Astyanax mexicanus: one gene and its partner. The protein of the gene in region 2 interacts with the protein of the main gene of each other region in a pairwise test. Links are inferred from orthologs where the notes say so. Each region holds a gene or a part of one and is shown on either strand. Other genes may lie near its edges.

Region 1 (13,256 bases), on a different chromosome or scaffold from region 2:
AGTTCAGCTTGGTTTGATGGCTTGTGATCATCAATTTGATAAAATCAAAGAAAATAATTTTTAAGTGGTCTCTTATTTTTCAGAGCTGTATATTAATATATATTACTACATGCAGTTATTTTATCACATTATCACATTTTTATCATATTTACTTAACAAGAACAAGGCACATTGACATTAAAATTATTTAAAACCAACATTCAGAACCTCTAATTAACAATCTTGTATAACTGGAATGACCAGTGAAATCTACACAACTATTTGGTTTAAATGTTTAATTAGGTTCATATTTTCCACACCGTATCTGTACACGTACTGTCCCTTTAAAACATACGGCAATGTGTTTAGTCATATGACTCATCATGTGATCCATCCAGCCAGTCTACAACATGAAAGCAACATGAATAATTACTCAAATACCAAGCAAACTCTGCCAATCAAGCAGCTTGTACCACAGGAAAATCGTCTTTCTAATCATTCATTAAAATAAACATTCACTAATTTTAATGCAGGTAAAATGGTCATCATCCAGAACTAGCGAGTTCTCTAAATAAAATCACATCCATCACATTAACTATACTATACTTCCATACAGAAGTTGAGTAATCTTACATTATTTGCCCAACAATCTCACAACAGGATACCCTATATTGTCAAAAGTACTGTGACACACCTAATAATCAAGGAATTTTGGTGTTTTATTTAGTCCAATAGCCACAGGTGTATAAAAAAAAACCAAGCACCTAGCACCATGCAGTCTGCCTATACTTTAAAAGAGAGGCATTGCTACAACAAATCAGTTTGTGAAATTTCCTCAAAGATATTCCTCCATCATCTCTAAATAAATTGTGTTTAGAACCCACAGTTACTAAGCCATGAAGTGTCCCACCATGTGAAGCTACAGAGCGGTGTGTCTGTGAGCTGAGGAACACAGCGCATGGGAGTAATCACCAAAACTTTGCCTCAGGAACTTTGTGGCATGCATTTCCATAGCTAAGCAGCTGCATTGCAAAGCACAATGCCTAGCCTGGGTGGAGTGGTGTAAAGCACCCTGCCATTGGACTGTGGAGTGTAAACACGTCTGTCTGGCAGCCTGATGGACGAGTCTGGGTTTGGTGAATAAACAGATATAATAAACAGCCTGACTGTATTGTACAGACTGTAAAATTAGCTGGAGGAGGAATAATGCTATAGGATTGTTTTAAAATAAAGGGAAGCCTTAATGACTAACAAACCTAAACATTTTTGGTACCTGAATGTGGCCAACATTGTGAAAATAGTTTGGGGGAAGAGGCTTTTCTATTTTAGTGCCTAATGAAAGTTTACAAAGACATGGGTGTGCGGTTTAGGTGCGGAAGAACTTGACTTGTCTGCACAGACTCTGGCATCTCATGTAGGGCTGCAATGATTGGTCGATTACATAATCGGCAATGTTGATTTAAATTTATCGACTACAAATTTCAGTGTCAACTAACTGTTAATAGTACTGTTAACAGTACTGCATTACACAAGTGCTGAGGACAGAAGTGCAATGGTAGATGGGTAAATGGCTCACTCGCACAGTTTACAATCAACTTAGTCTGCGTCTCCAAAAGTGCCCAAACACATAGGATTACATATTTAATCACTAAATAATCAATCCTCTCCATGTCCATGCCTGAACATTTAAATGCCTTTTAAATCTCATGTTCAGCTGTTTCTATTGCTTTTAGAGCTTTTAACTGTTGTCTAATCGACTAATCAAAAAAATAATCAGATTAGTCGACTTCCAAAATAATCATTTGTTGCAGCCCTAATCTCATGATACGATAAAAACACGACCATGGCAGCAGTAATATCACAATACTGTGATTCTCAATATATTGCAATACAATTCTTTACGATACTTCACTGCATCTGTGTATCTTAACAGGACAAATACTCCTAAACAGGCAAATAAAAGGAATTATGGATATATTGGTGTCAGTTTCACAGAATTTGACATCCAATATTCTTCATCGCAGGTTTATCCTACCCAGGTTTAGTGTCCTCATGTGGAGGAATGAAGCAGCAACCTTAGTAAGCCAATGTTTCTATAAAAACATCAATATTTGATGCTGTGTGTCAATCAAAGAATCAATATTTTGTCCCACCCCTAATTTAACCTTATTGAACACCACTGGGGTACCGTAAACTAGAATGGGGACTGCAAGGCCTTCTTTTCCTTGTATAGCATCATCAGAGTCTGACCTCACAAATGATCTTCTGCATAAATGAGCAAATCTGCATCAGCATCTGACACGCTCTAAAACTGTTAAAAATCCTTCAACAAAAAAGTGGAAGCTATTATAGTTATAAAGGGGGACACTCCATATTAATGCCTATGGATTTAAAATATGATGTCATAAAAGCTACTATCCATATGGTGTATATTACATACATTATATTCACAGGATTTAATGTTTTAACTTAGGAGTCAATATAGTTTTATATGGTGTGTGTGAAAAAGAGAGAGAGAGAGAGAGAGAGAGAGATAGAAAGAGAAGTAATAAAAAAAAAAAGATTATGCTATAAAAATGCGTATGAGGCAATACGTTACTAGGCAAAAGTTAATTATAAAAAGACAGCTGCTGCTATCTCACACATTATATCAGTTCAGTGAACCCATTCGACCTTTCCTCACCCTCAATGGAGGTCTGGCGTCGGATATGGTCGAAGAATTTTGTGTTGTTGGCAAACATTCCGCCACAGGTTGGACACGCCACCAGCTTCTCCTGAGTGTGACTGCGCATGTGTTCCCGTAACTTAAACCGGCCCTTAAACGAGGCCTCGCAATCTAATCAGATAAAAGAAACACAACAAATATGATTAGACCTTAATCTTTCAGTTCATGGGTTATATGGAAGACTTCTTATGGCACCACAATAACGAAAAGAAAACATACATTAATTATTTTTTTAATAGTTATATTGTTGTGAATTATAACCACATACCTTTCCAGCCACAGAACAATATGCTCTCCTCGTTGGCCTCCAAACAATGTGCATGCATCTCTACATGCCTGTAGAACCACTCTGGGTTGTCCATGTTAGTCTGTAAAAAAAACTTTATTACCATTTAACCATGACGTCTCAAAATAGCAAACAATTTCCATAAACAAACAATCTTACAATTCACAGGAACATATTTCAAGTCAAGACAAGTCAAGTAGTTTTATTGTCAATACTGCATATGTACAGGACATACAGAGAATTGAAATTACGTTACTCTCCTTCCCAATTTTACAGCAGGTCCAGATAATAGATATAATAAAAGAGAATGGGAGACACTATGTGTACAATACAGCAGGGACACAAATAGACATACATGAGACAAGAACAAGGTGCAGTAGTGTGGGGGAGAAATAGATATATAAATATAAATAAAAAAAAGAAATAGATATATAATATAAAAGAGTGGGAGACACTATATGTACAATACAACAAGACACAATAAACATACGTAAGACGGAAGACAATAGTGCAATATTGATGGTGATTGAGATGGAATGACAGTATAAATAATATATAACAGTAGTGCAAATGGTATCTGGTATATAGCTTAAGGCTGGTAAAGTGAATGAGTGCGTAAAGTTCCTAATCTAGTTAAGGATTAACAGTAACACACTTGAAAGTCCAGACGACACAAAGGTCGTTGTCTTTTTTACATTGTGTAGATTTGATCCGATTAGTTTTGTTTCACACTGCAGTTTAGAGAGCAGACTAAAGAGCTTGACCACATCCTGTCGTCATCATCTACTTGGGCGGAGTCTCTTTACACTTTATACTAATTGATTGGCAATTGATTTGCTTTGCCAGGTGTTGTGTGAATTCTAGCTTTCTGTCAGCATTCGATTTTTCTTTGCGTACACCCCTTCACCCCACAGCAGAATGAGTGTAAAATATTGTCCTCAGATTCCTTTTATTTCTGTTTATAAGTAAGAGTTAATCTACTGAAATTAATACCCAGTTTAAGCGTTTGTGTTCATACTGTTGACTCAAATTTCAAATTGTCAAATTTCGGCACAACATAAATTCTTTTTCCTTGTTAAAAGTTTGTTAAAAGTTTGAGTCTGTCTGACTCAACCTCCTGAAATTGATCTAAAATTCTCGATCATCTAGAAAAGTGCTTTCACACTGCTCTTCTGGTCAGACGAATTCTGGGCCCTTGGTCCAGACTGTGCTTGCACACCCGTTTACATCTTCTACTTTGGTTGGAAACGAACTGAAAAGTGCAAAAGTGCAGACCAAACAAGCTAGGTGTAAAAGCCCCTGTACACACAGAGTGTTTTACCTCACAGTGTTCCCACAGGCAGAGGAAGCTCTCCTGGGTCTCAGGGATAATGTTGCGGTTTTGGAGGCCAACCGAACAGTTTCCCATTTCTGGATGGCCTTTGAGAACGGCTAAGCCCCACTGCTTCAGCTTGGTGTGGTAGCAGTGGAAAAACATGTGCCTCAGCAACTCTCCAACCAGCTCCACAGAGCAGAAACCACAGTCCCGCCAAAGACAGGTGAGAAGCTCTTCTGCAAAATTCACAAAAAATGCATCAGTAAATAACCCACACCAATTTAGGGTACAGATACAGTGGATTGCAAAAGTCTTCATACCCCTTAAACATTTTCAAAAATGTTCATCTTACAACCACAAACTTAAATGTATTTTATTGAGATTTTAAGTGATAGACTAACACAAAATACTACATAAGTGTGAAGTGGAACGGAAATAATACATGGATTTAATAAAAATTAATCAAATAAAAATCTGAAAAGTGTAATGTGCAAAAGTATTCAGCCTTTATCAATACTTTGTGGAGCCACCATTTACTGCAATTACAGCTGCAAGTCTTTTGGAGTTTGTCAGCAGCCCGCCCTGGCTACAATAAAGCGATCTTACCTGTTGCATCAGGGCATTCGCTCTCTATAGCTGTGTAATGTTGTTCCACATGCTGACAGTACTCCTCCATCCCGTCAAACGTCTCCTGACACGTGCCCCACTCACACGCAAGCTCCAGCGTGAACTCCTCACGGCGCGGCGCACGCTTACTCACAGGAGCCATAGTGCGGGACTAACTGAATGTTAATCTTGGCCAAGTGTCTGAAACACAAAAAGGCAACACACGCTTAAAAAACACAGTAAAGAAAGTCATCACTTCAAAGCAGTAATGGTTTTATTGGTTAATTGCTTTCAGACATATAGACACAAACACACACACACACACATGCATACATAAAGGTGTCATAAGTATTCACATTTAAAAATACTTCTGTAGAAGCTAAAGTATCAACAAAAGCTTTTTACTGAAGTAAAAGTACTGGTTTTAAAACTATATAAAAGGTACTACTTTAAAAGTACAGAAAATTAGACCACCCTACAGGGGCCTATACTGCACAACCAAACTCCTCAAAACACATTTTTTCTAAAAGCCATTATCACTACAATGTAAAAGTAGCTAAATATGGGATGCACTAGGCTCTTTGTTTCAGCTGCATATTTGCCTATTGGAAATTAATGCATTTTAGTACAATGCAATGTTCTCCTCCACCAGTCTTACATACTGCTTTTGGATAACTTTTTGCCACTCCTCATGCAAAAATTCAAGCAGATCAGCTTGGTTTAATGGCTTGTGATCATCCATCTCCCCCTTGATTATATTCCAGAGGTTTTCAATGTGGTAAAATCAAAGAAACTCATCGTTTTTAAGTGGTCTCTTACTTTTTTCAGAGCTGTGTATTAAAGAAGCTTAGTTAGGACTTTTCACTAGAGGTCATTTGAGTTTCTGCCACAGACATTAAATCACCCATCTCAGTTGGGTTTAGCTCAGGGGACTGTGAAAGCCAAAAGTTTTTTTTTACTTGTTTACTACGCAACTCCATTTTATAATATTTATCTACACCTGCCTGATTTTGTTTAAATAATTATTGCACACTTTCTGTAAATCCTATAAACTTCATTTCACTTCTTAAATATCACTGTGTTCGTCTGCTATATGATATAATTAACTTCTTTTAAATTGCTGATCCGAACAACCAATGCTTTATAAAGAAAAAACATAAATATTATCAGGGCTGCTCAAACTTTTTCACACCACTGTAACCTATCTAACTTCTTGCTTAGGTAGTTAAAGTTGTCTGATTAAAGCGTTGCTTAGATTAAAACACAGCGAAATATAAACAATTAAACTAGCTAACAGTCAGATAACTTATTCTAGAATTAATTAGATTCATGTATACTCATTTATACACGTTAAGAGTCACAGTAAAGCCTCGGAGAGACAGTCTGCTGAGTTAGTAATCTCTAATTACTCAGAGAAACAGTCTTTAAACCTGAGCTGATAGCCGGTTAGCATGAGCCTCCAGCACAGCTCTCAGTCTGAGTCTGTTCTGCGGGTTTACAGTCTTCAGGTTAAGGGCAGAGCTCTACCTCCACTTTGGGCTGTGCTCCAGTGTACAAACTGTGTACAATAAGGTGTTTAAACCGGATTAAATCGGGAGAAATGTGACCCACCTCGCGCCGCTGGTCTCCGCATCTCCTCTACGCTCCTGTTTCCCACAAAAACAAACGAATCGCCGGAGCTCCGCCTCTCCGGCCCGCAGCCAATCAGAGCATCCCGCTCATTCCGCCAGAGACGGGCCTCCCCCTGAACACTCAGATCCTCTACAGGGTTCCGCTCCCGTACACAGCTCACTGTTTACTATTCACCAGCATATACAGGTATGTAATTAAAAAATAAACAAAAACTACTTCCCCACTACGTCCCCACTCTCTAACTGTAAAGTTTACCATGAAATATAATTATTAAAATACTTCCGAGATTTGTCTCCAAATCTCATCTATATAAAATTATTTTCATAATAATACTTAAAATACACATTTTAGTTGTGTCCTGGGTTTCACTCAGTCCTGTTACCATAACAAATTACCCCAGCTGAAAGATCTGGTACATTCTACAAGTGTCTGCATGCTATTAGCATAACCTTTAGCCCTTTAGCTATTTTTCATGTTTTTGCTAATTCTATGCTAAAAACTCAGTCCTGTTACATATACCATAAAAGGTAACATAAATGGTTTATAAGTTAGTTTATTAATGTTTATTAATTAGGTGGCAAATATATTAAAACCCAATAATAAGCAGTTAATATATAACATAAATAGAAATGGCGACAGTGAGCTGAAAATTAGCAAAGTAGTAATTCCACACTCGTTAATAGTCAAACCACAGCTCTTTCTAGATACTGATTTTACTTTCTGCCATATTAATATATTTATAAGTATGTTTAAGTATTTACCATAAATTAAATGACTAAGTTGCCACTGTTGCTTTTTTAACTGATGTGTTTTAACTGCTTATCAATGGTTTTAAGGCATTTACAACCTAAGCAATTATCTAATTTAGAAATAATCTAATTTACAAACCATTTATAAATCAGTTTAAAAATATTTAACTTATATATATATATATATATATATATATATATATATATATATATATATATATATATATATATATATCGTCGCTGTCCAATGAAAAACACTTATCTCCATTTTTGTCGATTTTTAGATTTCTACATAATCTGAACAGACAAACTGTCCTTTACACTTTGCCAAAATTTCTTGATGAACGGACCAATAGAAACTCTTCAAAATGACCTGAAATAAACTCTTTTTACATTGACTTCTATTGAAAGTTTACAAGTTTTTTTCTCTCTCCTGTAAAGTTGCTGTTTTGGAGATAAGTGTTTTTCATTGGACAGCGACGATATATACCCATAATTTGTCCATTTTAAATAATTAGGAAAATGTGTGTATTTGTACCAGCACAAGCTAAAATTACATGATAAACATTACTATTAATAGCTGCAGTTCAGGAAAATTTGTAGATATTTTATATATTTTATATTGTGTAAAATACTTACCTCAACATTAATTAGCTAGCAGTATAAGAAACAAACAAATTAAATAAATTTAGACGATAAGTTCAGTTTAAAAACATTACATTTTATTCTGAGCTCTCTATTAGGAGAGTTGACAATACTTTCTGATACATTTCTGGTCCAGTGTCAAACTGATACGTGTCCATCACAGGCTCAGTTTTACATTGGTTGAAGAAAAAAAAGAAAAATATCTCTATATAGCTTTGTGCTGCTTGGCATTTAGGCTACCAGGCGACTCAAAAATCTCTGTCCCTGCACAGATAAAACCTCGAAAACTACCCAGATTCCCAAACTACATTCCATTAAACCAGAATTTAGAAATGGGAAATAATGTTTTACATTTACGTCACCTACAGGTTGTTTACTAAGTATAAAAGTTTACTGCAGGCATAAAAACTGTAAAGGTAAAGTATTCAGTGGTCCTACCTTTTTATTTACTTGTTTAAACTGTTACATTTTCCGGGCAGCTTTTCTCTGAAATAGCAGTGTTTCTACTCAAGTATGATTCTTCAGTATTCCTTCTTCCACAGCACTACAGAGTTCTGATAGTCAGGTATTCGTGTATTGCATTAAAACCGGTCAATTGGTTTATTTTAAACATATTTTACTTTGATTGCTGCCCTGAAGCCCAAGAGGACAGTAAATCTCAGATGAACCGATGACACTAAAAGGCTTGCAGAAGTGTTAACACAGTAGTTCAACTGTACAGAACTGTAAACATTATCCTTATATGAGTGGGACATGAGAGGCAGACTTGCAGTCTTTCAGAATCATCCCTAATCAGTTGTTAGAAGCACATTTAACGGGAGGTTGTAGTCCCTGCCCTTCTGTCGTCCGAGTGTTCTGTGCTTTAGAGTTAGACATCATAGAACAGTCGAACCAGGTGATACCGGATTCCGAAAGCAATCACACTCCCCAAAATCTGTGAATGACAGGAGAAAAAAAAAAACATTTAACTAAATCAAGAAAACACAATAGGTAGAAAGGTGTGAAAGCAAACATGAAATCTAAAAAGAGGTGAAGCAGTGAAGTTCACTTCAATATTTAGTGTATCCGCTAGATGTACATCCATAACATAGGTTATCAGAGCACTGCTATATAGAAATCTGACAGGGAGAGACGAGTCAAGTTTGAATTAATTTTGACATCCAACTCAAATAAATTAAACTAAGCGTTTAGTTTAATTTAGCATTAGTTTAAAACCTCTTCACAAACTGTCTGTTTTCCAGCTGAAAGACATGAATTAAGGATACAATGAGACTAAATTGTAGGTAGGTGAGGTAGGTATTGTGGAATAAAAATTAAAATTTCAAGGCTTTAATCCAAAAGAGCAATTATTATCTAAAAATAAAAACAGTAAAATAAAATAAAGAATAAAATAGACCAATAGACATACATATAAATAAGAAAATTAGAGAAAGTCAAATAAGTGATAAATGTATCATTACTATCCAAGCCCTGAACAGCTCATGTTATTTAGGCCAGAAACATTCATTGTAAACACAAAGGCTCAGCCAAAAAAACAGGGCCCTGCTGTACAGGACTGCTACACTGCTAAACCTAGTCTGTGTATTTTAAAGTGTCTGCATTCACGTCATCGCTTGATATAAACAAACACACATAAATGTCTATAACTATGATCTGACTAATCTGACTGTGATACAATGGTCCCTTTGGTCTCAAGTTTGGGTATAAAATATTGAGATTCAGTTCAACCCTGTACTATGAGAATAGCTTAAGATTAAATCAGCTCATTAAATACAAAGGCTTAGTTGTGCACTCATACCTGTATTAAGAGCATGATGGCTGTGAGGTTTCTCTCATGTGTGGGTCCCAGTATCTTCAGCACCAGGTTAATTAGAGTCATGTTATTGCACTCAATAAACTCATCCCCCTCCTGACCCCTGCGCACATCCAGCAGCCATAATGCTTCTGCCACCTGCAGGACAAAACATGGAAATGTAGCTTTTTGTTGAAATAATCATTTAGCTTTAGTTAAGACTTATGCATCTCTATACTGTTAATATTATGCTCATTAACTGTTGATACTATATCATACTTTACCTTTATCACAAGCTGTCCTAATTTGCCAAGGTCCTTTGGTTTGAACTTTGAGTAGCTCATGCCAAGCTTTCCAGTATCTGGCTGCAATCTGTGGAAGGATGCATTACATTTGCATATTAACACCACCTTACCTGTCTAGGTAAGAACATGATGATTGTAAATTCTAGGTCATATTTAGCTACAAGTGAATCATAAAAGTGCAGAGTCTCAAAAATGTGCATAAGAATAACAACTTTTGCACAATTTTGACTGATGTGTGTAAAAATAATGTCTATCCAGGAAGGTGAATGTGAGCATCAATTTGCTGCAACTTGTAATGAACAATTTACTCATTATTATTTAGAGTAACTTTAAGTTTAGGATGCAATCAGTGAAGACTAATAGGTTAAATAACTATTTTGTATCAATAGTAATTAATAGATTAAATATGAGGTGATTATGAACTCAGAATTATGAAGATATTAAATTGTATTTTTTCCCTAACAGATACATAAAATGTTAATGGCATTATTGTGTTACTGTTCCCAAAGGGTCATTTTATGCATGATTAATCTGGATAATTTTTACTATGATATATTACTATGACATTAATGAAACAGAGCTTTCGATTAGTTTTGTAGCAATTTGGATTAACTAAATGATTTATTAGAAATGTATAAACAGGACTACCTGGGCAAGCGATGTCTAGGACAGGGGACTATGTGGAAGAGCTGTGGCAGAGAGTAGATGAAGTTTACGACTTGTGGGATGAAGAAGAGCAGCATGGTCTTGCTGAAATGACCGAGAATGCCCACCACAGCGAACGTCATCCCGGCAAAGTAACAGAATGTGTCTCCTACAAACACTGAAGATGGGTACCTAACAAATGGGCAAGAGCGAGAGAGCTCTTAATGTATGGAAGAAGTCCTGTTGACATGCTTTGTGTTAGCACATTCAGATGAGAGACACTGTGGCAGTTTTCTGTTTAGTCTTACTCTTCTACAACAAACAGGGAGTTATGCTGTGTCATTATCACTTCAATGAGGTTATTATAATAATGTATTCTCAATAGATATGTGCATCAAACAAACCAGTTGTGGTAGAAGAGGGCCAGCGTGGTGAAAAAGAAAGGGATCATGAAGTACAAAGAGAAAACATGGTCATCTCTGTAGTCTCCTGCAATGGAAAAGTGGATGTTAGTTAAAAAATTTTTTAAATGTGTTTTATTTAAAACATACTGGTCATTAATGAGTTTGTGGGTTTTATAATAAATAAATTGTATCAGACTGCAGAGAAGATGCTTTTTCCCATTGCAGGAGAGATTGTGCATAAAAGAAACTCTAGCTCATGATCTGCCAACTTTCATGTTCTCATAAATAGATCCTCAACTCACCATTGAGTTCCAGTATATTGAAGATAATGATGGAGCCAGAGATGAAGAGGGCTTGTCCCGACTCAATGCCATTGATGCCAGCAAGGATGTTGATGGCATTCGTGCAGAACACAGCTAGCATGCCCATATATACATAATACAGGATACCTGGGGGACCAAAAAAGGGCAAAAAGCAGTCTTAGATACTCACAAAACCTCTAATCTTAACAGCTCTTTCAGGGTTTAAATATACTTAATATTAGTCCAATATATCAGACATTTGTATACAATGTATGCTGTGAGACTCTTATCCAATCCCAGGTATACATAATTGGGGTTCAGAAATAATAAACAGAATAAAATAGAACTGAATCATTAATAATATATTATATAAGAACCTAAACTAATTCACAATTGAATTTTTATTAGGCTTTTAATTTATTACTCCTCAGTCCAACTAACCCAGATCCAGATGCATCCCTAGCAGGGCTCGGAACGGTTTGGGCACCACTATGAGGGTGTTGCCAAAGTTGGTAAAGTAGACCATGAGCAGAGGCAGGGAGGCCATGGTGGGCAGCAGCAGCTTGTGCCTCCATCGCAAGTTCAATACATCATCAGCAAAACCAAGAAAGATCATGCAGCAGATGGCAAGCAAGGCTCCAATCAGCTGCACAAACTGCATCAAAAAGAAATTCTTTAAAAATATATTAAAGCACAGGCACAAACTACTTTTATATGCAATAAAATGTACTCAAACATTTTGTAGATTTTTTTTATCTAAGGATACTAAAAGTGTTTCCCCACCCTCTTTGCCAAAACAATACTAGAAAGACTTTACACTAAATACTGCTTTAAAGATTTGATTGCATTAGGTCACATAAATCCAGGTACCAAGTAGGATTCTTATTTTTGTCACTTCAACTCCTTCTCAAATGTGTTGTAAAATACATAAAGTACAATTTCTGTAGTTTCTAGAATATAAAATGGCTGATTATTCTGAGCTCTTTTTAAATACCTTCCCATACTTATCTGTATCCAGTTTTCCACAAGTCTGTAAGTTCTGTTTGTTCGCTCACTGGGTGAAAGGTGGGCAACACAGGCCAACTGTGGGCAGCTCTGCTTTAAAACTGTAGTCAGACATTTTGTTCAAGCTCTTACCTCATTGTGTGGGAAACTGCGACACTGCTCCCCCACAAAGCAACCGAGGAAAGGCACTGGGATAAAGAGGAAGAGGATGATGAGGAAGACCGTGCCACTGATCACTCCTTGGGACTCTGGCCTAAAATAATAAAACATAAGATAAAATAAGATTAATCTGTGCAAACACTAATCATCTACTAAAACTTAGTGTGACCATATTTTCTCTTTTTCTGCCCTGGATTTCTGAATATTGTAGAATGTTTGAGATTTCACAGTTATTTCAATCCACATTTGATTCTACAGTCACCTAGCACACACTCGATATGCATGTATGTATGTTTTTAAAAACATGCTTAACACGGGATGTCTAAAATGTTCAATAAAGTGTTCAATAAACACTTTTAAACTAGTTTTGTTATTGCTTTTTCTTTGGTGTTCAGTATTCAGCCTTTGGCCAAATGTTTCATTTTGGTAGGTTTTGGCCAAAAATCTTGACTTTTTTTCAAACTGTATTAATATTATACACAGCTTAAGCTTAACATAATGTCCACCTTGTTTCCATATAGGAGCACTCTGTAACTGTATAATTACCATCTGTAGATGGTCTGCAGATGGACTGTAGACCACCTGTTTTTCTGTATACATTATTATCCACCTTTTACCCTGTTCATCAATGGTCAGGAGACAGGACCCTAAAGGACCACCTCAGATAAGCTAATATCTGTGTGGTGGGTCATTAATTCATAGCACTG
Region 2 (12,885 bases):
GTATTGTGTGGGTATCGGTACTGAATTCAAAGTATCGTATCTGTACAGATAATTTTAAAACAATACCAAGCCCCTACCCCTTACTGCAACATAATGCAATACAACTCTAGTCTCTATGGTAACTATTTTACATAACACTCCATTATCAACAACTATTTATGGACTAAACTAGAAAGAAGAAGAATCGTGCAAAACCTATGCTTCACAGGAGCAGCAATGATGTGTGTGTGAGAGAGAAAAAGAGAGATAAAATCACTAATACAGCACTAAGCTCAAAGGCACTAAGTGTTGAATACCGATTGTGTTAAAGCATGTAAGAACTAATAAAATATTTTGTTTATATTGGTCTTTACTGCAGATCACAACAAATATACATTCACCACAATAACAGTGCTTTATCAGACTACAGATATAACCACACTAAAGCTAAAAGAATGCATACCTGTGTCTGTAGCACTGTCTGCATGGCCAGTCTCATCACTTTCCTGAGTACTGTTGCTGAAACTTTCACCAGCTGGCTCACTGTCTTCAGCTGTTTTAGTTTTTCCTTTAAAATATTTCAGAATTATTAATAACCAGATTATGATACACATGTCTCTTGAAAAGAAAAATGACTTCATACTGCATACAAAGAGTTTAAAAACGTGTACCTTACCATAATCGAAGAGATCAAACAGAGCCTGAAAGGCAGGGTCTGACTCAGTGTGCTCGAGAATGTCTTGGATGGCATCATCAGTCATATGGATTTCTCCCTGTTAATAAAAGCAACAACAAATTCACCATTTCACTTTTTCTGCAGTCCTGTTTGGCACAGACACACCAATTTACTCATAATTGCCAATGTTTTAGGTTATATTCCATTTATATCAAGAAACAATAGGGACACTGGTTTACCTGCAGACCCAGTATTTCATCTATCGACTGCTCCTGCTCCACTGCGCTGCAAGCTGCCTTCGATATCTGGGGGCTGTTATCACTGCTAACATGAAAACTGGTTTTAGAGTTTAGATTTGCAGCAAAATAATGATTACAATATGCTTTTTAAAAAATGCATTCATATTAATAAATATTTTTCCTTTTTTTTTATTTTACCTTGCCAAGATTTTGTTGATATTCTCAGCTAGTTTTTCTTGCAAGGATCTGTCATTGAGAATTTTTTCTCGTGCATTTTCAATCACCATTTGCTGTTAGAAGAAAAAACTAATTCAGCCACACAATTACACAATACAATCACACAATGATTACACGTAAACTTGTTTACATCTAAAAATTAAAATGATGATTTTATAAGATTTTCTGATGAATTCTTATTCTTCAATGTTAATACACAATTATTTCAAGTTACTAATCCACAAAGCCTATCCTTGAAGTGTTTTCTAAAATGACAAACTCTGGCAATAGCATAAATCCAAAAAAAATTATGAAAGCTCACAGATAAGTTCTCGGTCACTGCCTCCTGGCTCTGTGTTTCCACACTGAGGGTGCTGGGAACTGCAGAGCTTCTACTAGTTCCACTCTGGCCTCCACCCCTTCGCCTAGGTGAGTCACTGAAATAGCACAAACAAAACAGTTTTTTGTCAAGACTTTTTCGTGTGTTGTTAACCACAGTATTAATAGTAGCTGAGTATTATTATGGGCCAAGTTATGCAGACTCCAGTATCTGTACTCATATAATATTAAGTATGATTAGAGACTCTAATTTTTGTAACTCACTGTACTTTGTTTCTGGTCACTCGTTGGTTGCTAAGTTACAGTTGGTGAAAATGCTGTAGCAAAGCTTTTAACATGTACTTCCCAGAGAGAACACATTACTCCAATACTGGCTTTACTCCATTGGCTCCCAATTGTTTTTATAATACAGTTTATACTTGTGCTTTTAGTTTATAAGTCTCTGCATGAATTAGCGCCCAGTTATTTAGCATAGTTGCTTGTGCTTTATATTCTGGCACTTGATCCCCAAGACAAGGCTGAAACTGAGGGGGGGGCCGAGCATCTGCTGCGGGTGCCCCAAAACTGTGGAATGAGCTGCCGCTGCAGATTCGATTGGCACCCACTTTATTGTGTTTTAAATCCAGTTTTAAACCTCATTACTACACCATGGCTTTCATGTAATTGTTTTTTTTTATTAACTGTTTTAATAGTACTGTATTTTAATGTTTGCATTTGTGCAGCACTTTGGTCAACGTATGTTGTGTAAAATGTAAGAATATCATAATTATATTGAATGATATGGCCAATATTTGTAAGCCGAAAAAAGACCAAGTGATGCCATTGTTCTACCGATTTGTCCTACCTATCGATACATGCTTCCCAAAGGTACTGCGCATGCACTGACCTAGACAATTGAATTATTTATTGTGTTTTTTATTTATAATTAATCTGTTTTAGGGGGGTGTATGTGCATTAAACAACCTGGACACACTGTCATTGCACAAAAGTGTACATGGAAACTAAACATTACAATTATTATCATAAATATAAATATAAAAGCAGATTGTAATGAGCTATATTTGCCATAACTTTGCCAGGATACAACAATGTATGCAATCTAATAAATCTAATAACGTACATCTACTGGAATTTCACGGGGTACATGCCCTAAAATAATGCTTCTTTTGAATTTTTACAGTTAAATATACATTAGGGCAGCACGGTTCGACAAGGTAGGACAATTCGACAGAACACCGGCCGCACTGCTACAATTGGCTGATACTGGCTGTGCTACTTTAAAATCCATTTATTTAAGCTACCTTTTATATATTTTTATGTTTGGTCAAAGGTCCAAAAGTCCAAAGGTTACAGTGGGGTGTCCAGCATCTTTGTAAGTTATAAATGTGTATATCAGCATCGGCAGTTATATACATATGTAATATCGGCATCAGCCTAGAATTCCCACATCAGTGCATCCCTAATGAAGAGGTTTCTCATACCATTTCCTGCGTGCTGGAGAGAGAGGTCCTGGGGTAAATCTTTGATCAGGCAGTATTATTTGTAAAGTTGAGTCTCCTGTGAAGAACCGGAACAACCATACAGAATAAGAGGAGCAGAACAATCTGAAGCATTTAATAAATAAATTACATCCTTTGCGGTTGGATGTAATTTATGGATGCCATGAACAAAGGACAGCACAGGTTTGATCCATCAAAGATATAATTTAAAAGTAAAGTCACTGGATAATAAAATCAAAAATTTGTTCTGCCTTACCTGGTTGAGAGAGGCTTAGGGTTGAGGGTCTGGTCTGCTGGGAAGTGTAGCAAACTGGGGTGGAGTGTCCAAGCATGCCCTGAGGAGCTGCGATTGGACTGGCAACACAGTTTCTAGGAGTCGATACTGACAGACCCTCTGTGCTAGAAGTCTGAGATGTGGACAGATTTCTCTGACATCGCCTGTTCTGAATGCTGTTCTGGGTTCGGACTGTTAACAAAACAACATTTCTTAATATTGACTTAAAACATTTCAGAGAAAACAACAAGCAGCTCATTTTATCTGTACAGTTTTTAAGAGCCAAATACAGTCATACAACTTACGTCTCTGTATTTGTTGAACAGCAGGAGAGTTTTGCATCGATCTGCAAACATACACATAACAGAGATTAACAGAGAATTATCAAGGAGCAGTTGATATCAGACATTATAGAGATTAGTCTGAACAAAACAAAACATAAAAAGAAACAGCCTGTCTTTGACTCACTTTATCTGGTTTAGTGTAAAATCCAGCTTTTTCCATAAAGATGTCATCATGGCTGGTATCTGATTCTCCTGACATGTTTCTGTGAGAAACACAAACCTAATTCAACGCCTACAAATTTATAACATTACATAATATTGTATAGCCTGTAGAGTACCTACCTTTCGCTCTAGCAGCAACATATTCATTTAAAATCGTGGTCAGGTTTTTTCCAAAAAGAGACTGCAAAAATAAGATGGCCAGATAAGAATAAAATCAAAGCAATGAAAAGACAAAGTCATACGGGATGTCTTGACAACAGTAACATTAGTTTACAGCTACATTTCCAGCCAGCAGAGCCATACTGACCAATTTATGCAATGTTTCTGGTTATGAATTAAAAAAAACAAACAAATTGAACGTATTGTACGTACAAACACGCAGGCAGGGATAGCTCCATCATCAGAGCTGTGTTCAGCATATTCCCTCAAATTAGGACTTTCCAGTATAAATGCTCGACTTGTGGAACTCAGTCCTTCCTGCTGAAGGTATCCTGCAAGAAACAAGAGACAATCTCTAACCTTAGCCACATTTAAAACACAGCAATGCAAAGTGTACGGTTCTAAAAATATACATCATAATATAGGTCATTCTTAATTTCATTCGAATTTTATTGATATGTAAATAACCGCGCATTAATAGAGGAGGGTAACATGGGAAAAATACTACATCACAACATATAAAGACATTTCCATTAGGAGTGTGCCATATCGTACTGTACGCAATAATATCGTCAACATTTTTGAATATCATGAACGATATTATACCTTGAAATATAGTACCATATCACCCACCCCTAATTGTGACATCAGGGTACTACATTTTTTTCTGTTTTTAGCAAAAGAAAAAAATCCCACTGTTTTCATTTCCCATTATATATCTACTAGAGACAGATTATATCTGTCCAGTATTATTCATTTTACTTTAAACCTGGATATATGGAGATACTTAGAGTGCATTATTATTATTAGTATCATGACTTCTGTTACAAATCTGATTCAATGCTTATTTTTTAATGTCTCAAGTAGGAGTGTGCCATATCATTTCATATGCAATAATACATTTTAATTTTCATTTTGTTGCTGTAGTGTTTTCTGAAAATATTCTTTTTACTTTAGTGTTTTATCATATTGCCAAGATTATCGTAATATTATTTTAGGGCCATATCGCCCACCCCTAATTTCCGCAATACACAGAATTTATCAATTTATCAGACACAGACAAAATGTTTCAGCAGTGTCAGATTCTGCTATTATGCTATTAAAATGCTCTTTCATCCACAGTACAGTGATCTTATTTAATTTCTGCTGGACATCATCCAATTAAACAGGATTGTAAACAATATCTTTGATTAATAGATGAGATGTACAGTTGGGTCGGTGTTCTGATTGTGTTACTGATGATGCCCTCGATATGCTTATTGTCGATATGATAAGAAGATTTATCCCGATACGATACAATGTTGATATACTGTCCAGCTCTATGGTTTTATTAGCTTGCAACTTGCGAATGCCATGATTGTGATCTGGTAAGGTCATGCATTGGACAACATATTGCAAGTTCCAACAGTTTCTAACCCCACTAATTCGCTGGTTTAAAGGCTGGTTGCTGATAAACACAGCCAGTTAGCTAGCTAGCTTAGCTACCCTTTCTAATGCAGCTATAGTAACCTAGACGAGGCGTGTAACCTAGCGAGGTTTAACTATTGCTAAAGGTCTGTCTGAACTTACCGAGTACGAGTCTCGCCACATCTGAAGGTAGCAGCATGTTTATCTACTAATTACGCAGCTATCGTGTGCTATTAATTATCTGGAAAATAAGACTATACCATTAACAACCGTTCTGTAACTACAGTTGATACTAAAACACATTTTATTGTTTATTTATCATTAAAGATTAAGCGAGCTCGAAGAGTCCATAAAGCGAAAAGGCGCGGAAAGGCTTCGCTCACCCGGATGTTGTAGTAGTGCACAGACACAACAAAAGGGGAAATGTAGTTTTTTTTAACAATGAGTCTTTTTTTGTATGGTTGTTTTTTTTTTTGCAGCTGGATATTTTATAATAACATTGTAAATATGGATAAATGTGATCTGAGATTTCTTCGAATTCAGGAGACGCTATAGTTATATTTTTTCAAGGAACTGTGTTCTTTAATCACAGACTTATTGTTGCCTAATACAAAAAACACAATTTAATTATTAACCTATCATAAACTCATAAAACAGAATTACGACTATAAAGGTGGATGTTTGTCTATTTCAAACTTTTGAAGAATTAGAAAAATGGTCTTCTATTAATTAAAGTAAACTGAAAGTAAAAAAAAAACATACTATCTTGCCATCTACTAGACTGCTGTCCATGCACATGTACATTCTTCTGTTCTCAGTTAGCAAACATATTTATAATAATAATTATTATTTTTGTTTATAAATGTGTTTATATTCCCAAAACAAAACATTTACATAAAATGCATATGGGGTTTAAGATAATTCCAGGAAAGATTTTATTATTATCTATATCACGTGGGCCTATTTTAGTCCTACGTATGAAATGCTTCCAATATATATATTGTATATTTTTAATGACCAACTTATTAGTACTACCCCTATCACTAATGATGCCCCAACATCAGGTGTGGGAAGACTAGCACATGCTTCCTCCGATACATATACATATATACAAATTCAACATAAACAATATCATAAATTCTTAAATATCTTAAATATTCAATTTTATATGAATCATTTTTCTTTTTTTATGTTTGTTTGTATTTTTGTAATGATTGTTATCTGAACTTTGTTTGTGTTTTCTTCTTTTAAAAAAAAAATATATGTACGTAGTGATGAAATACTGTGCCAACGTCCATTCACATAAAAGAAAGTTCGTGAGTGACTTTTATTTTGATAGGCGGCCCGAGCGCTTCCATTCTCCTTAAGCGCGTCCTCCTCCTCCTCCTCCGTCTATCGAGATAAACAACTTGAAGGCGACGCTCAGATCCAGCTGGAGCTAACGGCTAGAAACCGTCCTCGGTATTAGCCGCTGAACACGGAATATTGAAATTCGGTTCCCAAACGGGGTCAGGATGGAGTCCTCGCCTAAAAGGTGAGAGTGTAAACCTTTAATTCAACTCTTATTTACAGCATGGCTGTGTTATTTTGTGGATATGGCGAGAGAAAGTGCCTCTTTTGTAATACAGTTAGGCTTAGCTTAACTCGGGAAGCTCATTAAAGCTAACAGGCCAGCCTAGCCTAGCTTAGCTCACATAGCGCTAACTAGCAGTCTCTGCACAGCCCTGCAGTGTGCTGCTCCTGCTGCCGGTGTTTTGTAGACTGTGTTCTTCTATGTTAAATCTAGCCTAGCTAAACATGTCTCGTGTTAAAAGTGAACAAGAAGGTGTATAGCTAGCTACTAAAGTGATTATGATATTTAGCTAGCTGTGAATTGGGTTATTTAAGCAAATTGGGGACACTAACCTAGAAAAAAAGCGAGAGTGTGGAATGGGGTGTTGAGCTAAGAGTGTATAGCTGAAAACAAAGCAGCAGCAAGGAGACTGCGAAAAGAAACCTATACAGCTGACTGCCCTAGTTAACTACCTCACCTAGCTATCTAAGTAAGATAAATGACTGATAAAATTGCTTTAAAATACAGCAGGCATTTAAATAAAATATACCTATAAATAACACCCAACTTACCTACATAGCAACATAAGTGTTAAAGTATCAAGATGGGTAAATATAATATTAGAGAATAAAATTAGGGACGTCATTTTTATCATATTTTCCAAATATTAAGTTAGGTAAACACGTGGTGATCAATTAATGAACCGTGTCTAGTTAAATGTTATTTTGCTCCATTGGTACTAGCTATATGGGCTGCCTGCTTTCTTCCATGTGCACACGACTTCGTGTTTGGACGCCTTACACATCTCCCCAAATAATAAATAGTAAATAAATACTTTTAACATCTGAACTCACTAGTTAGTTAACTAGGTAACCTATAATTTTTTTAACTAACCTAACCTACATAAGTGCTAAAGTATTAAGATAGGTATGTTATAAAATATAATTTGGAACATACGGTAACGTATTGATGAATTGAGTCTTAACATTAAAATTCTGCAGAACGTGCTAGCTATTCCTGATTTTTCTTAGCTAGCTACATGACTAAATCATGAAGAATCAAGGTAGAAAAATAATATTTATGGAGTTGATTCAGGCATATTCAATATATTTAAGCAGTTGATTACCTAAAAGTTCAGCTAACTAAACTATATTGAGCTATAGATAGTTGAGATATGAAGTTGTCTAAATGTTTTCCCTTTCTTCTCTGTGCACAAAAGTGTAGTATCTTTCTGGAGTAATAAGGACATTTAAATAGTTAGAACTATTAGAACTGATCAACACAAATATTTTGATGTTTCAGTATAAACATATTTTGTTTAGTAGGGCAACTATGATGTCTTGCATTATTATGCTCTCGTGGGTGGGGGTTGGAGGTGTGTTTACTGGCCGATATGGGCCCGTTGTACTCCAGTGATGACGCTGTTCCAGAGTACATGGTGTTCCCTTCATACAAACCGCTGCAGCTTTGTTGTGCGCAGTCTACTGGCTGCAGACTGTTGAACCTCTAACACATTTGATCACCCCCCCCCCACACAATTGTGCTCATCCGCTTTGCACGACATGGGATCCAGTCCAAGAAGTGTTCAACACATATAAGCGTGAAAACAGAGAACAAACGCTCCTGACAGGAAGATTGAGTGTTGAATCTTTGAGGAGTTTGATTCTCCCACTTAGACACAGGGCCCTCAGCAGTGATTGCTGCCAGATGAAGGGCTTGGACACTGTGTTCCTGAACTGAAGACATCCTTTTAAACCACTTAGTACTGAACAAGCTTTGGAGATGACCCATTTGGCCAATCTCACATTAAGTGTCATCTAGTTTATCATTGTCTTTGAGTTTTGTTGTACTTAATGTTGATAATACTAATCGTGAAAAGTTCTAATCTTTAGAATATCTTTCTCAATTATTTGTTTGGGATTTCCAATGTAGTTTTCTATATATGGGCTGTATATAGATAGTATGTATTTATTTATTTATTATTATTTTTTGTACATGCTTGAACCCTTTAGTTATTTAGCTGTTTTTGGCTTCTAGGATTTTGCTAGTTTAGTAAGAATTTTCCCAGACAGAGGGCAAGTCTAGTCTTGGACTGCACATCATTTTGAATGGAGATTTGCCATTGAAAAGAAAATATAGTCAACGAATAGGCTTAATCTAAAGTGTTTATTATTTCTGATAAAGTTCAGAAATTACATCAGTAGGTTTCGGAAAATCTAATCCCAGCTCGAATGAAATGGCTCATATTATTTGGTATTGTTGTTGTATGTTTCTAAGCAATTAGGGCACTACCATTGTTTGTGAGCTGAAGGCCTCACACATTTAAATGAAGCCTGTTTATAAGTAGTTCTGCAGGTATATTCTGTTTCAATGATCTCCTCCTTCCCTGAGGCCACTTGGCTTAGCTGTGCTTTACGGAGGACTGGGTCAATAAAGTTCGTCCTGTGTAATTTATAGCCACCTCTGTCCCTCTGAAGAGTTCCCTGGAGCTATTTTAGAACATGGTTAACATTTTAGACTGAGAATAGCACAAGGGCAGCACAATGGACTATTAGTTAATCATTGAAATGTTAGCTTTTGTAATTAATACATCACTTCTTTACTGTGGTTTGTGAATTTCTTGGCTTCTTATTCTGATTTAAGGTTTAAGGTTAATCTAGGATTGATTTGTCAAATTGGTTTGTAATATTTCCCTATGAGTGACAATAATTCAGCCATTGCACAGGATATCCTATCCTGTTCACGTTCTTCTGAATTTGTTTATGAAGTTATGTCTTCATAAGATCGCAGTACAAGATAGCAAGCTACATCCTAGGCAGGAAATGCAGCAGTTGGTAAGCTGATTTGAGAGTCCCTAAGTTGTCTATTATTGAAAAATACCACTTTCAAAAGGTTCCTTTTTTACGTCCCACAATGGAATTTGGATTGTTGGTGTTATTAGTTGATGAATTTTGTGTTATGTTACATTTTGTTCTTCTTAATTCCCACATGTCCGCAGCTAGAAATCGTACAGTATTGTGATTTTTGTAACTGATATAGTAAAGCACAGAAAGATAAAAGTGCTGATGAGCTCTATGATGCTACTTCTTTTGTTATTGTTGATGTGTGGTTCAGCCATTTTTGGATCTGCTCTGGGAGTTGTTGAGGCTCTCATAGTTTAAATTGTCCTACCTGGTCCATGAGAATAGACCAAAAAAATCAGAAGCTATTAACACCTTCAAATCAACAATGTCTTCTCATCCACAAACAAAACATTTTGGTGTAGGTACTTAATGAACCAAAAAGAGTCTCACTAATTTGATGAAAATGGTGTGACCTGTTAAAAACGGAAAATGCATTTTATATGGGCTCCTAAAAATGTGGTAATTTTGTGTAAATTTATAAAGCTTTTACTGACGTCTGGTGGGTGTTTTTGGGCCCCCTGTTGTGTTTTTTTTTGCATTCAAGGGCCTCAGCACTTCTTGCTGCTGGAATGTTGAGATGTTTATTTGGAAAAGGAATTAGATGCTTATTGGTTTGAGAGGTTGTTTCGGTTGTTTGCTTGATGGCAAGCTGGTGCTAATGGTTTTTTTAACGTTACTTAGCAAAAACTGCAGAGAACTACCCAAAGAGAACCACCAAGATGACGATGCCAATTACTTGGATGTCTATAAAAATCTTTGCTATTTCTCAATTTATGACATACCTGAAATGTCATTGTAGAAGTATGTCTGAAATGTTCTTTTAATTATTGCCTTGTATGACAAGGGAACAAACATTTCTTGAATTGTGTAACAGCTTTTTCTCTTCATAATAATCCCCAGTGAAACTTGTTTCAGGCTTGGATGTACTTTTACACGCCTATAAAAACAAGATGCAAACTGCCCTCAACTGGGAACGTGCTGTACACGTGGCTAACATTTAGAATAGAGACCAGACCCTCTGTATTTTGTAATCAGAATAAGAGAACATGACTCCTCTATAAACATGGCTGTTTGAGCCCTGGAGCTTGTTTAGGGTTGAGCTGGAATTTCAGGAAGGCTTGTAGGGGTCATAGTTGAATCTTCCGGGGAAGAAAGGACTTGAGAATAGGCTCTGAGGTCAGAACAGCATGAGCCCCCGCCAATCTGCCTGAGGCATGTGGGGGAAGGGACAGAGGAGATGGAGGCTGTTTTCCTCAGTAAGATGAGCTGATTTGGCCTTCTTGTGTTGACCAATCTTTTTCACATCTACAGCAATGTAACATCAGGATTCTTGTGAGAAAAATGTTCAGAGAAATCCAGGAACCCAGGAAAACAAATGGTTGTGGCTTCGTTCTTCATTGTGTGGTATTTTGTTTTTGTGGTACATTTGTTGTGAAGAACAAGATTTTGCTCATGGATGGATTTGTGTAAAAAAGACAAAACATTTTTTTTATTGCTTTTGCGAGTTCCTAGTAACACTCTAGAGCACATTTCACCAATTTGGATTTCATAATTTAATCCGATATTTGTGCTAAAGGGGATTCATTTGTATTGGCCTTTTTCATGGCTTTTTATGACTGATTTTTGTTTTTTTAAATAACTTTATATTTAAGTGTATATAAAATCCAACTGTATTTCACAGATGCTCTATAGGTTAACATCTGAATTTGATTTAATTTCCAAGGCTAGTGTGTGTGTGTGGAAAGGTTTGGTTTCTGGAAAGATGACGCTTAAATTATGCCATAGAATCTTTGCAGTTCAAGGAGCACCATAACTACTTTTATTTTTTCTCATGTGACCTAATCTGTTGCAGTTTAACAAGGAGTTGGTGAAATATTTACTCGGATACACAGTTAGCTATTTACTTTACAAATGTACAATGTTTTTATGGTGTTGCATATAAATTGTTGTACTTTTAACATATGTAAGTTCTCTAAAATGACTCAGTATTCATGTTGGCCAGCCAGGCCCTTTTCTATTGATGTTGGGATGATGTTTTTTTTTTTTTTGTGTCTGTCTCAACTTGAACTTTCTTTAAGTCAAGCTTATTTTGTCCCTCTCCTTGCCAGGCCGAGCTCTGACCTGCGGAAGGTGCGTTCGCGTGATGCGGCACGCTGCAGACGAAGTCAGGAGACTGAGGTGTTTTACGAACTTGCCCACTCCCTGCCCCTCGCGCGCCGGGTCACCTCCCACCTCGACAAAGCCGGCATCATGAGAGTGACCCTCAGCTACCTGCGTATGCGCCAACTCCTCTGCTCCTGTAAGGCTAATCCTCAAACATTACATTATCTTTTTCTAAGTATCGTGTGAGTTTTTTGTATTAGCTAAACTGCTGTTCTATTAACATGCTTAATTTGCAGCAACAACCAAAGTGGAGCAAGGCACTGAGGAAGAACAGGATCCTACTGATGCGTTCTACCAGCAGGCACTGTCTGGTTTTGTTCTGGTCCTGACTGAAGAAGGAGACATGATCTTCCTCTCGGAGAACGTCAGCAAGTACATCGGCCTTGCTCAGGTTAGCACAGCTCTTTGGTTAAAAATGCTCTTTTGTGGAATGTATACGACTTTGGAGGTAACGTGATGAGATGCATTTGTTTTCCCACTTATATAAATACTTTAAGTAAACACAGGGGCCGCACGAGGCCTGCCCTTCTGTGTCTTAAACTGGCTCACATTTCTGTGCGTGCAAGCAAACTTGGAGCGCTTCCCGGACTACTGAGATCACATTCTCAACTCACTGAGGCCAAGGACACTCTTTCAAAAAGTTTGGCTGCACCCTATTGCTGTTCAGAAGGATGTGTTGGATGAACTTCAGAGTTACATGAGGGTGACGGCTAGAGTGACACATAGGATATAGTGGGGGGCCTTTCACTTGAGTGGTGATGGAGCATAATAGTTTTTGAAACCCAATCACATGGCCTACATTCATTTCAGATCAGGCTGACAGACTAATCATGTGTGTTGCTGAGTGAAGCTGACTAAGGGTGTTTTCACACCTGCACCTTTAGTCTAGTTTAGTCCAGTTATCGGACTCTGTTAGTTTTTGCTGGTAAACTAATCCGATAATGGGTTCATTTAAATGATTTTTCTTATGCTT

What was found.
Region 1: the proteins of npat (region 2) and histone H4 transcription factor interact in a two-hybrid assay, tested with the Homo sapiens proteins (2 studies listed by BioGRID). The link is inferred for Astyanax mexicanus from reciprocal best matches to the Homo sapiens genes NPAT and HINFP.

The regions. Positions count from the first base shown.
Region 1 is NC_064408.1:15,312,445-15,325,700, forward strand, and holds the start of histone H4 transcription factor, read right to left. Parts: upstream 6,633-13,256; 5' UTR 6,523-6,632; intron 5,113-6,522; 5' UTR 5,075-5,112; coding exon 4,912-5,074; intron 4,542-4,911; coding exon 4,312-4,541; intron 3,073-4,311; coding exon 2,973-3,072; intron 2,816-2,972; coding exon 2,663-2,815; intron 1-2,662. Other genes in the region: dpagt1 (UDP-N-acetylglucosamine--dolichyl-phosphate N-acetylglucosaminephosphotransferase), read right to left, coding at 8,806-8,871, 9,736-9,888, 10,014-10,101, 10,683-10,871, 11,084-11,168, 11,386-11,532, 11,827-12,040, 12,523-12,643. UniProt on the Homo sapiens protein: Transcriptional repressor that binds to the consensus sequence 5'-CGGACGTT-3' and to the RB1 promoter. Transcriptional activator that promotes histone H4 gene transcription at the G1/S phase transition in conjunction with NPAT.
Region 2 is NC_064425.1:15,324,337-15,337,221, forward strand, and holds the start of npat (protein NPAT), read right to left. Parts: upstream 5,686-12,885; 5' UTR 5,494-5,685; coding exon 5,457-5,493; intron 4,220-5,456; coding exon 4,101-4,219; intron 3,910-4,100; coding exon 3,849-3,909; intron 3,770-3,848; coding exon 3,691-3,769; intron 3,569-3,690; coding exon 3,528-3,568; intron 3,415-3,527; coding exon 3,205-3,414; intron 3,007-3,204; coding exon 2,931-3,006; intron 1,548-2,930; coding exon 1,433-1,547; intron 1,185-1,432; coding exon 1,093-1,184; intron 980-1,092; coding exon 895-979; intron 753-894; coding exon 656-752; intron 548-655; coding exon 443-547; intron 1-442. Other genes in the region: hif1al (hypoxia inducible factor 1 subunit alpha, like), read left to right, coding at 6,809-6,828, 11,858-12,048, 12,149-12,303. UniProt on the Homo sapiens protein: Required for progression through the G1 and S phases of the cell cycle and for S phase entry. Activates transcription of the histone H2A, histone H2B, histone H3 and histone H4 genes in conjunction with MIZF.